3 linked regions of the Tribolium castaneum genome follow. The protein of the gene in region 2 binds, or shares a complex with, the protein of the main gene of each other region. Links are inferred from orthologs where the notes say so. Each region holds a gene or a part of one and is shown on either strand. Other genes may lie near its edges. The genes, in order: crn, l(2)37Cb and 116 kDa U5 small nuclear ribonucleoprotein component.

Region 1 (3,755 bases), on a different chromosome or scaffold from region 2:
AAGTCACATCGTACACAATGCGCAAATAGGGATCGCTATTGAGCCGCTGGCGAATATTCGGGAAATCGAATCGGCGAATAATCCCAGTAATAATGTCACGTTTGCTCAGAAAATGTTGGAGAATTTTATGAATTTTGTGCTGAGTTATACGGTGACGCAACCGCAAATGGTCCCAGATCCCACGGCCACGTACGTTCCGTTGGCTACAGTACAGAACTGGTACACGAATTTTGAACGACGGTTGCAACAAAACCCCAATTTTTGGAAAACGTAGAGGAATGTGTGCATACGTGTGTCTTGTGTTCATCAAAGCTGGATTATGGCGGCTGTTAAGTCTCAAAACTCACTCGCTTTTAATGTATTTAAATGAATAAAGTATCGATTTTTTTATTATCTTATCATTTGCCCACAAAAAATTAATTGTTGCAGTGCAAAATCGTTGACCAGATAGCGCTTGGATAAGTGACAAAAGGGGAATAAAACAAAATTTAAACCTTAATTCTATTTTCTCAAAATCACGGTTCCGGTTCTTCCGTTTGCTTCTGCTTCTTCCAGCTTTTGGCAGCTGCCAATAACTTCAAATTGGGTTTACTGGCCTCATCCTCAGGGAATATATAATCAAAGATCTCCTCCCATCCTTGCTCAACACCATCCTCATCAATAACCTTCCTTCTCTTCTTAATCCTCCTTGGCATTTTCCCTTCAACTTTCTCCTTCGTCTCCTCGCTCCCATTTGCACTTTCAAACTCCTTCCAATTCTCCAATAACAAAACCCTCGCCTCCTTCTCCCCATAACTCTTCAAACTCTCATTAGCCCGCTCATAAACACGCCTTGCCAAACTAATATTCATATCCGACTCACAACTCAACTCAAACTTCGCATACGACAACCAAACTTTCACATGACTTGTCCTCTCCAACAATCTTTCGTACAATTGTCGGGCATTAGCCCACTCTTCTTGCCCGATCTCAAAATCGATATAGGCCTTCCAGAGCAGCTCAGGCATGTCTAGCCTTGGCTGAGCGATTGCCAACTCATAAATGGCCCTAGCACGCTCAAAATCCCCCAAAAGTGTCTCCAACTCGGCAAATTTCATCCAAGTCACACAATTTTCCGGACCAAACTCTAGATATTTCCCGTACAAAATACGACACCGGTCAAACTCACGCAACTGTATCTCTATATCAATATACCCACGGAACAATTTATCACGTGGGCATTTACCAATGGCAGTCCCCAAAATTTTACGAGCACCAATCAGATTCTTCCGCCTGATTTCAAACTGTGCAAACAACAACCAAATTTTACTAAACGTGAATAACTTATGGGGGATCAAGTCAAGGCAAGCTTTATAAACCTGACGTGTTCTTTCATAATCAACCGCTTCGATTTCCTCAAACAGGGCGTAATTAATCCACAAGTAAATATAACGCCTCCAGTATTGTTTATTTTTCGTTGGTGGCACGTTGGCTATGGCCCGCTCATACGTCTCACGTGACGTCTCAAGGTCCCCTTCCCCCTCCACCAGTCTCAAATAGTCAAACCAAGCGTCGTAATTGGTCGGATTTTCGAGTATCTCTTGTTCGTATTGAAACTTACGTTTCGAAACAATCACATCTTCAATACCGGAACGATCGCCGTACTTTTTCTCATGTATGGTGTAGGCTTTGTACAGCTCTTTCGCTTGTTCTTTGGGGAGATGGTCCAAGGCATACTTGTAGATAACGCGAGCACGGTCATGTTCTTTTTGGTTTTCTTCAAACCGTGCAAATGCAATATACAATTTTTCGTCCAAATGGTCATCACCGTAAAAATGTACAGCTCGTTCGTAAATCAAGCGGGCCGAGTTGATAAAACCGTGATTTTCTTCAAATCGGGCGTATTTAATCCAGTGTTTGACTTCGGGATGTGTTATAACAAAGCGTTCGTAGATTTCTCGCGCACGGTCGATTTCTTTGTATCTTAACTCAAAATTGATGTACGTTTGCCAGGCTTGTTCCTCCGGCTGCCACTCCATCCAGCGTTCAAAGACAGCTCTGGCCCCAGCCACATTCTCCAACATCTCCTCCATGTAGGTGTATTTGTACCAAAACTGGTTGATTCTGGGCAAAATCGTGACGGCTCTGTCCCATAAATTTCTAGCATGGTTCACTTGACGGTTTCGCATCTCCATTTCAGTGTATTTTAACCAAATGGTAACGTTACGATGGTCCACATCCAAGGCACGTTCAAATATCGAACGAGCTCGTTGGATTTCCTTTTGCGATTCTTCCCAATGGGCATATTTAATCCAATTGGAGATAACAGTTCGATTTTTTCGTATGTTGTCTTCGAATTGTTTACGGCGTCTGAGTTGGTAGTCGGCAAGTTCAGCTGGATCGGAGATTTTTTGCTTAGGGGGCGGAGGGAGAATCTCAAGGTCGCGCTCTTTTGCCTCGCGAAGGAGCTGCTCGGCTGTGATTTGGATCTCAGCAGGGGCTTTATTTTTCACCTGGAAAATTATTTTAGTTAGTTATTAAGTTGAAAGAGAAGGTAAATAACGTACCTTGGCCACTTTGGGCATCTTTTGCGGCTTGGTTTCCATCTCAGGGGCGACTTTTACCAACTTGTAGCACAACAAACAAACACGAACATAACCTTACGATTTTTTGTGGTTATGTTTGGACCACACAAATTGTGAAATATCGTGCCTTAAATTTTGATCGAGTGTTTGTTTGTTGTAATATAGATTAAACAATAATTTACGTAAGTAATTAAACTCCGCAAGCCAGTTTTTGTATTATTGGATTTGTAGATTTGCACTGGTGACGCCACATGTCGCGCACAATTACAGTTTTCTGTTTTTTTTTTAAATAAAATTCGAGAAAAATTACAAAATTTTATTGCATTTAATTTTGCCACAACTTTAAGACTTTGTCTTTACCCCCCGAGGCCACTTTGGAGCCATCTGAGGCCCAATCAAGCGCATAGACCTCATCCCCATGACCTGGCAGATCAATTTCCAATTTCTTCTCCCTCAAATTCCACAATTTGAGTGTTGAATCGGCACTTCCACTCACTAAAAGTCTAGAATCGGCCGAAAACGAAATCACATAAACAGCCTGTACGTGCCCCCTTAACGTACAAATAAATTTACCACTTTTGGCCTCCCATAATTTAATACTCTTATCAAACGAAGCCGAGGCAAAAATGCGACCATCTGGTGAAAATTTCACATCGTTAACTAATTGTTGGTGCCCCGTGAGCCGATTTAACGGCTTCTTGTCTTTTGAGGGGGCCCACAAAAACAAAGTGAAATCATCGGAGCCCGAGACGAGTCTTTCATCACCGATAGGGTTAACGATTTCGTTGTAACGACGCAGGACGAAGTCTTGTGATTGGATTTGGGTGTCTTTGACTGGGTCAAACGCCCCCAATTTGAGGATATAATCAGTGTTGAGGGCCAAAGTGTTGACCCAATGACCGTGCCCTTCTAACGTACGACACAACACACCGTCTTTAGCCCTCCAAACTTTAACAGTCCGGTCCTGCGAAGCCGTATAAAGGAGCCCCAGACCGCCCCACTTGACCACAGTCACACTTTTCAAATGCCCAGAAATAACCCTAGTACAAGAACACAGGACCGTATCCCAAATCCTGACGTCACAATCTTTACTCGCCGAGGCTAGAAAGCGACACTCGGCGTTTTGGTGGTAGGGTTCCCAACTCAGGGCCGTGACCCATGATTTATGCCCAATTAGAGTTTTACCAATCT
Region 2 (3,755 bases):
ATGCCTACTTTTTAGAAATACAGAGCAATTATTTTAATTAAATCTACCTACTATGAACTGAAAAGGTCAAATGCAAGTCAATACTTTGTCTTTTCTCTATTTTTAGTTTGAATAAAAACGGCTTATTTCTGACGATTCTTTGGTTAAAAACGAAAGATTGAAAAAACTCTAGATAAAAAGAACGTTTTTTTTGCACTAATTTGGACGAAAACGATTTATTTTATACAATTTCTTGCTTAGAAACGAGAAAACTCTTTGAGAAGTGGCTGAAAACCGCCTTATTTTAGCCGAAAACAACGATTTATGTTATAGTTTGGATGAAAACGGCTTATTTCTGGCTATTCTTTGCTTAAAAACGAGAAAACTCTCATAAAAGAAGATTGAAAACGCCTTATTCTAGCTCAAAAGAACGGTTTATGCACTAGTTAGAACGAAAAAAAAAATCATTTTGTATAATTTCTTATTTAGACACGAGAAAATTCTTGTATAAGTGGCTGAAAACGCCTTATTTTAGCCGAAAACAACGATTTATGTTATAGTTTGGATAAAAACGGCTTATTTCTGGCGATTCTTTGCTTAAAAACAAAAAACTCGCATAAAAAAAGATTGAAAACGACTTATTCTAGCTCAAAAGAACGGTTTATGCACTAGTTAGAACGAAAACGATTCATTTTGTACAATTTTTTGCTTACAAACGAGAAAACTTTTTGAGAAGTGGTTGAAAACGGCTTATTTTAGCCGGAAACAAACAACTATTTATGTTATAATTTGGATGAAAACGGTTTATTTCTGGCGATTCTTTGCTTAAAAACAAAAAAACAACGCATAAAAGAAGATTGAAAACGCCTTATTCTAGCTCAAAAGAACGGTGTATGCACTAGTTCGGACGAAAACCATTCATTTTGTACAATTTCTTGCTTAGAAACGAGAAAACTCTTTGAGAAGTGGCTGAAAAGCCGTATTCTAGCCGAAATTGACTTATTTTGGACGATTCTTTATCTATTTTCTTCCAATAAAAATTCTGTGAGACATCAAATAGTAAATTATTTTCTTTTGCCGTAATAATTTTATGAAAATATTCTAGTCCTCAATTTTTCGTTTAGCCAACAAAACTACATACTTTTGCTAATATTCAATTAATTAGCCTTCTCTCAAATGAAACGTTATTACTGCTTTTTGTGCTTTTGTAAGATACGAAATTTTTTTTTCAGAATTAATTTTTACGAATTATCATTTTGTTACTTCATGGCTCATGACGCAATTAATGTTCCATTTATTGGGACGAAGTATCATAAGATACTATAAAAAATAGAGACCTGGCATTTGCAAGACTTGGATGAAGTCAATCTGGTCCTCCAGCAACAAATCGTACTCGTCCTTCTTGGCTGAATCCTTGGCCCCGAACTTGAAGACCGCCGACGCCATTTGGTCCTTCTCCCATTTCTTCTGCTCCGACTGGGGCACCTTTTCCAGCTCATCAACTTCCACATAGTCCGCTGTTGACCCCTTGCCCAAATCCCTGGGCATGTGGTACCGCTGCACCCTTTCCAATTCACGCGCTTTTTCATGTTCCTGTGCCAACCGCAGCAATTCCCGCTTACGGTCGCGCTCCTTTTTCTCACGTTCTGTTAATCTAAAACCTCAGGTTGGCATTTACCGCAAAATCATTCCACCAACTCACATCTCCTCCTCGAACAAATACTCATCGTCAGCGATATCCTCCTCCAATTCCGCGATTTTATCATCTTTACGTTTCTCTAAATATTTACGTCTTGACTGCACCCTCAAGGCGGGGATCATTTTTTCGCGGTCTTCAGTTTCCAGTTTGAGTCTCTTGGCGGCTTCCTCGTAAGCGCGCCGGTCTGAGGCCTGGACAATGTTGCGGACTTTGGCTTCATCGCGTTTTTTGAGTCTACTAGCGAACTCGTCACGTTCTTTCAGGTCTTTACGACGAGCTTCTTCCTCACTGTCCACGGACTCGGAGTCCGAGCTCGATTCGTAGCGCTTACGCCCCTTCTTGTCTTTTTTGCCCATGGTGAGGCACTCCAGCAAGTGTTGACTACAAAATTTTACTTGTGCCTCGCTAATATGTGTAGTTTTTTGCTTAATTAAAGAGTGTTTTACTGAATTTTACATTCTTCCACCAACAACATAACCTCTAAATGTCAAAACAAACTTGACAAGTGGTTAGGTTACAAGTCCGGTGGCACCGAAATTTTGAGAATGCGATTTTAGTGATTGCATTCAAACCAATTTATTAAAATATTAAAAGGCTGTGACACAGGGATAAATAAACCAATACTTGTATTTAATATAGATTTATTTCTTATCACATAATTTTACAAGTTAATATTTTTTTACCTAGAAGAAGTGAAAATTTTGGTCTTTTTTCGCATCTACTATCACAATTTCCAATTCCAAGGTATACAAACCACTCCATCTGAAAGAACAGAGTAGTAAGTAGCTACGTTTAAATGTATACCGTTTAGATATTGTTCTATATCAATTTTTTTTTCTAAGAGCCGTTCACAGCATTTAATCATTAAATCCGGTGTTATATTATCATCTTTCCTAAGATTAAATAACTTGAATTCATCCATGCATTGTTTTTGCAAAGACCGCTCTATGTATTTATCGCTGAAATAGAAACAATTAACGGGAATCAAAATAAAACATTCACAAACTTTTTATATTCAGTCATTTTTTCCTTGGCGTGTTCTAAATTGGTTGTGATAAAATTGACTAACAAAAATCCAGGTAGGGAAGACGGGACTATAAACTGACCAGTGGGAGAGACCATCAAAGGTCCAGCTTCCCTAAAATAATAAAACATTTATGATTAAATTAAAATAAAAAAATTCATACGTTTCAACAACAATCTCAAATTCTTCTAACGACTGGGGCCACTGCTTAGGGAACCCCCGCCTTCCTCTATAGTCACTTAAAGAAGTCGTGATTTGTTGCAGGTTTCGCTCGTATTCTCCCGCCAAAACTTTCGGCATAAATTTTCTGAAAAAACAAATCGTTTTAAATTAATTCAAATCCAATCAATAATAACCAAAAGTCTGAGAAAAACTGACGACTAAATTTTATATGTGAAACATGAGAATTCTTACCTCCTGCCAACTTTGATCCCTCTCAAGACTTGCGAGACGGATTTTTCAAAACCAGGAATTCGGAATAGGATTTTGTCGTGCTTTCTCACGTTTTTGATCAACTGTGGTCAAGAATTACTTTCAAAACCACATTCAAATTTTCACTTACATCAAGCCAATTGTGCCGCACTTCCCCACTGTTGAGCATGATGTGCCCCTCTAGGCTGATCCCTGTAAAGGGTGCAAACACCAGCGTGCGGCCCTTCAAAACGTGCATAACTTCCGGATGTTGTTCAGCCAGAGACATAAAGCTTTGCAGACAGCCCCGAAAATGGGTGACATTCCAGCCGCAGTCCCAGCGGACGTCGGTCAGCTTCCACTGTTGGGCGATTTTTTTGCGCAAACGGTCGACCTCCTCGCGTAGAGGCCGATTGGCTTCGAGTTTTTCTAAGGCACTTTGGTAGTTCTTAACCAGCCAGTTGCGTAACTTGAGGGCTTCTTTGGCCTCGTTGATTTTTTGGCGCATGACAATGGGGCCAAAGATCGGGTCGTTTTCGTTCACTTTCGAAAAATCGATGTTGCTGGTGTTGATTCTGACGGTTTCTTTTTTGGGTTCAGGGGGTGGTTTGGGGATCTTGTCGACGTATTCGGTGGGCAAAT
Region 3 (3,655 bases), on a different chromosome or scaffold from region 2:
GCATGACGCAGTCGAGGTACAACTCCCCGGTGCCGAGCACCACGTGCTCGCCTGACTCCTCCACCCTTGTGGTCAGCAAGGGGTAGGATTTGTTGACCTTTCGGAGCCCGTCGAGCATTTTCGGGAGTTCCGAAGGGTTGACGGGCTCCACGGCGATTTTAATGATGCTTTGGGTGTTGAATTTAAGGGGGCGGAAAATGTACAAGTCCTCGTAGATTGTGAGGTCTGTGATTGTGGCTGTTTTAACGATTGATTGGTCGATGCCCTCGATTAGGACCCAATTGCCGGCAGGGACGCGGTTTAGCTCGATTTTGTATCTGGAATTTTGATTAAATAATGCGGTATTTTTAGAATTTTTGAAAGTCAAGACGTAGTAAACAACTCGTTATCATTAATTCATTAGTCGAGGTCATGGAACTTATCTCTAGATGAACGGCCTTGGGGCTAAACGAGATTTTACAACTCGTTGGTTACCTCATTTATTGCGGTTGAGACGCGCAAAAAAATTGCTCCTGGGTTTATTAACGAATCTGATAAGGGCTTAATTGTTTTTTGTTGTTATTTTTGGAGGGGGGGCGAATGGTAAACATTACGACGGTTATGTTATATTATGAGTGTTATGACAAGCAGATGCTTATCAATTAATTAGAAAAATAGTAATTTAGTTAAAGACAGGACGTAGTAATTTTTTGTTTTAAATTTTAACAAGTTCCATTTTATTCCGGACAAACGAACTTATTTATGTTTCTTATGTAACGTCATTCCAGAAACTTAAATATGTATTCCCAGTATTTTCATGTAAGGCTCTAAAGCGTATAGTTTTCGAGTCACACATTTCTTAAATAAATCTAAAAATTGGAAAAATAAAAATCTACCCAATAGACAAAATATTTTGAACTAAACGCCCATATGTAAACTGCCCCGAGAAGTAAATTGAAGTTAAAAAATCGGAAAACTTCAGTTAATTTAGAAATTATCGACATCAGCTAAAAAAATTACAGACCATTAGAGCAATTCTCAATAGTTAAAGGTAAAAGTTGTGAAAAAATACAGAAAATCAAACAAAGAAAGAAACAAGCGTTTTTTTAAATTTAATCTAGTTATCCATGACAGTTACGCCAACAGTGAAACGTATTCGGAGATAAAATTAACTAGACGCCCTCTGGTGATGACTTTTGAACTATGTCGAAAACAGTAAAGAAATTTTCGTAATGCCACATTTAACTGACATTTAATGAATTGTTCAACAATTTTGCGTGTATAGTGTTAATTACTTACAATAGAAAGAATCACTTTAAAAGTACGTGGTGGTAAATACTAGCGTTGACTTTGGTTCTGTAGTTTTTCGTGGTATAAAGTGTTTATTGTTGGAACTTGAAAGTGGATAAAAAGTGAAAAATATTTAAATTTTGATTACAAAGTGTTATCAAACAGTTGTCTAATTAAAGATTATAAGTAATGGATCACAGCGAACACAAAGTTTGGCTCAAGAAACCAATAAATTAGTGAAGTGTGTGAATTTTAGGTTAGAATTTTCCACTGAAAAAATCATGAAATGCTGCGGTAAATCTACAAAACTACAATAAAGATTAACAACTGCTGATACATTTAAACGTAAATTATGCCAAAAGGTAGGCTTTTCAATGTCTTTGTAATAATTTTCCAATAAAGAAAGTGAACCAAACAGTCATTCGTTATTCGTGTTTTCCTCGTCATCTCTCATTTATCAACATAAGTTTCTTGCATCAAAGATGCAATAATCATTCCGCATAGGCAATGTAATAATTGTGAAGCCCCAAAATTCGTACAACGCTCAAAATATCCGAATAAACATTTTCCCTCCATTTATGGTTACTGTTTTCGACCTAGTTCAGTGGCGCCCCCAACGGTAATTTTACTTCCGAATTGCGTAAATAATTTCAGCATCGCTTTATCTGTCAATATGTCCAAAATATTCACCGAAGAACATAAAAAAAATATGTTGGAAACTTATTTCCGTAATGTACATCGAGTTAAAGTAACTGTCATGGATAACTAGATCAAAATTTTAGAAAATCGCATGATGTTTTAACCTCATGGTAAAATAAATAAATGAATAAATAAATAAATGGTAAAAGACACAATAAAATATAAGGGACAAAGTATACAATTATGTTCAACCGTATCGGTTTAAATTGCTTTAAAAACACAAAATCACAGGCACCACAGCACACAATTAAAGATAAAAATACCGAGAACTTTTTGTAGGAAATTTTTCATGGATTTTTAACGATATTCGCAGCATTTTGAAAAATATCACACAGCGCAAAATTGAAATTTTTAATAGAAATATATTTTTCTCATATTTGTTGTTCGATTTTCGTCAGTTTATTAAGAATATTTGTGCTTTTATTCCACGATTAATAAATTAGTTAAATGTAAATTGATTTAAAATAATTTGGAGCTGTGTTAATTTTTTGGGTATTTTATATCTCGTTTCGCCTCATAAAATTGTAGACTTAATTATGACTCACCCAGTATTGTAATTTTACGAGTTTTCCATTATATTCGCACCTATACAATTCATTAAAAATTAAAATCAAAAATGATTTTACGAGCATTTTAACGCATTTTTCATGCAGAAATGCAATTAATTACTCGTATTATCAACCATTTCAGGAATAATGACACCGAAATTTTCAAAATTATCGTAGTAATGTTAAGTTTCGATTAAGAATTCGGTTTATATTTAATGTATTTTGTGACAAGAGTTTTTTTTTTGTTGTGGATTTAAAATGGGAAAGGATAATCATTTAAATTGAAGTAATTCAGTGAATTCTAAAATTTACAAAAAAAATGGTTACATTAAAATGTGGACCTTTGGTCCAAATATATGTAATTTAAATTTTGTTTGAATTGATTAATAAATAAAAAAGTTACGAGGGGGTGCACTTTTCGGTGGGACACCCTGTACATTGTCTTGTAGACGGGAACATAAAATACTGACGTACTACAAGTGTTGAACATCTTTTGAAGAGTATTTTTCTAGTTTCTGGTAGAAAATTGAAATCGGTAAGTAAATTGATTAGTAATATTATTTTTATATCTTCGTAATTTTTGCTGTCCCGTCCGTTATTGTGGTTCTTATTTCTTACGTCGTTAACCAAGACCAAAAATTTTTAATTTCTGTCTAATTTTGATAATGTTAGTCTTTAATAATTAAAAAACCTGGCTGAATATTTTTTTAGAGATATTTTCACACACAAGATTTTTTTGTCCCGTCCGTTATGTGAAACAAAAATAAATTGCAAACAGTTTAACTGGTACTACCAGCTGTTTCAAAACGACAGAAATGTCAACAACGCATTTTACCGAATTATTTTTTTAAATAAAATTGATAAAAATGAAAAATAAAATTAAAACTCTAATGTTTAATGAACTATTAGCCCTAAATAAAATAAATAAAATTTAGAAACCTCACGTTGTAAAACCGTTTAATATCAAAAAAATGAGAACATTACAATTTTAAAAAACAAGAAAATCGTAATTTCATATCTTTGAAAACTCTAGGTTTTATAATTATAAACCCCATCTCTTTATTCATCGAACGTATCTTCAAAAGCATTGACAAATAAGGAAGTTGTATTTCTGTTTATGCAAGAGTCGATATCTTTAA

The links.
Region 1: l(2)37Cb (region 2) and crn share a complex: the UniProt entries of both Homo sapiens proteins name them as parts of the minor spliceosome. The link is inferred for Tribolium castaneum from reciprocal best matches to the Homo sapiens genes DHX16 and CRNKL1.
Region 3: l(2)37Cb (region 2) and 116 kDa U5 small nuclear ribonucleoprotein component share a complex: the UniProt entries of both Homo sapiens proteins name them as parts of the minor spliceosome. The link is inferred for Tribolium castaneum from reciprocal best matches to the Homo sapiens genes DHX16 and EFTUD2.

Annotation. Positions count from the first base shown.
Region 1 is NC_087400.1:96,405-100,159, forward strand, and holds crn (protein crooked neck), read right to left. Parts: upstream 2,684-3,755; 5' UTR 2,586-2,683; coding exon 2,547-2,585; intron 2,493-2,546; coding exon 516-2,492; 3' UTR 488-515; downstream 1-487. Other genes in the region: protein OPI10 homolog, read left to right, coding at 1-274; Nle (notchless), read right to left, coding at 2,890-3,755. UniProt on the Homo sapiens protein: Involved in pre-mRNA splicing process. As a component of the minor spliceosome, involved in the splicing of U12-type introns in pre-mRNAs.
Region 2 is NC_087398.1:7,190,157-7,193,911, reverse strand, and holds the start of l(2)37Cb (pre-mRNA-splicing factor ATP-dependent RNA helicase DHX16), read right to left. Parts: upstream 2,196-3,755; 5' UTR 2,035-2,195; coding exon 1,682-2,034; intron 1,634-1,681; coding exon 1,317-1,633; intron 1-1,316. Other genes in the region: T-cell activation inhibitor, mitochondrial, read right to left, coding at 2,403-2,637, 2,685-2,816, 2,866-3,009, 3,117-3,217, 3,265-3,755. UniProt on the Homo sapiens protein: Required for pre-mRNA splicing as a component of the spliceosome. Contributes to pre-mRNA splicing after spliceosome formation and prior to the first transesterification reaction.
Region 3 is NC_087401.1:10,807,694-10,811,348, reverse strand, and holds part of 116 kDa U5 small nuclear ribonucleoprotein component, read right to left. Parts: intron 318-3,655; coding exon 1-317. UniProt on the Homo sapiens protein: Required for pre-mRNA splicing as component of the spliceosome, including pre-catalytic, catalytic and post-catalytic spliceosomal complexes. Component of the U5 snRNP and the U4/U6-U5 tri-snRNP complex, a building block of the spliceosome.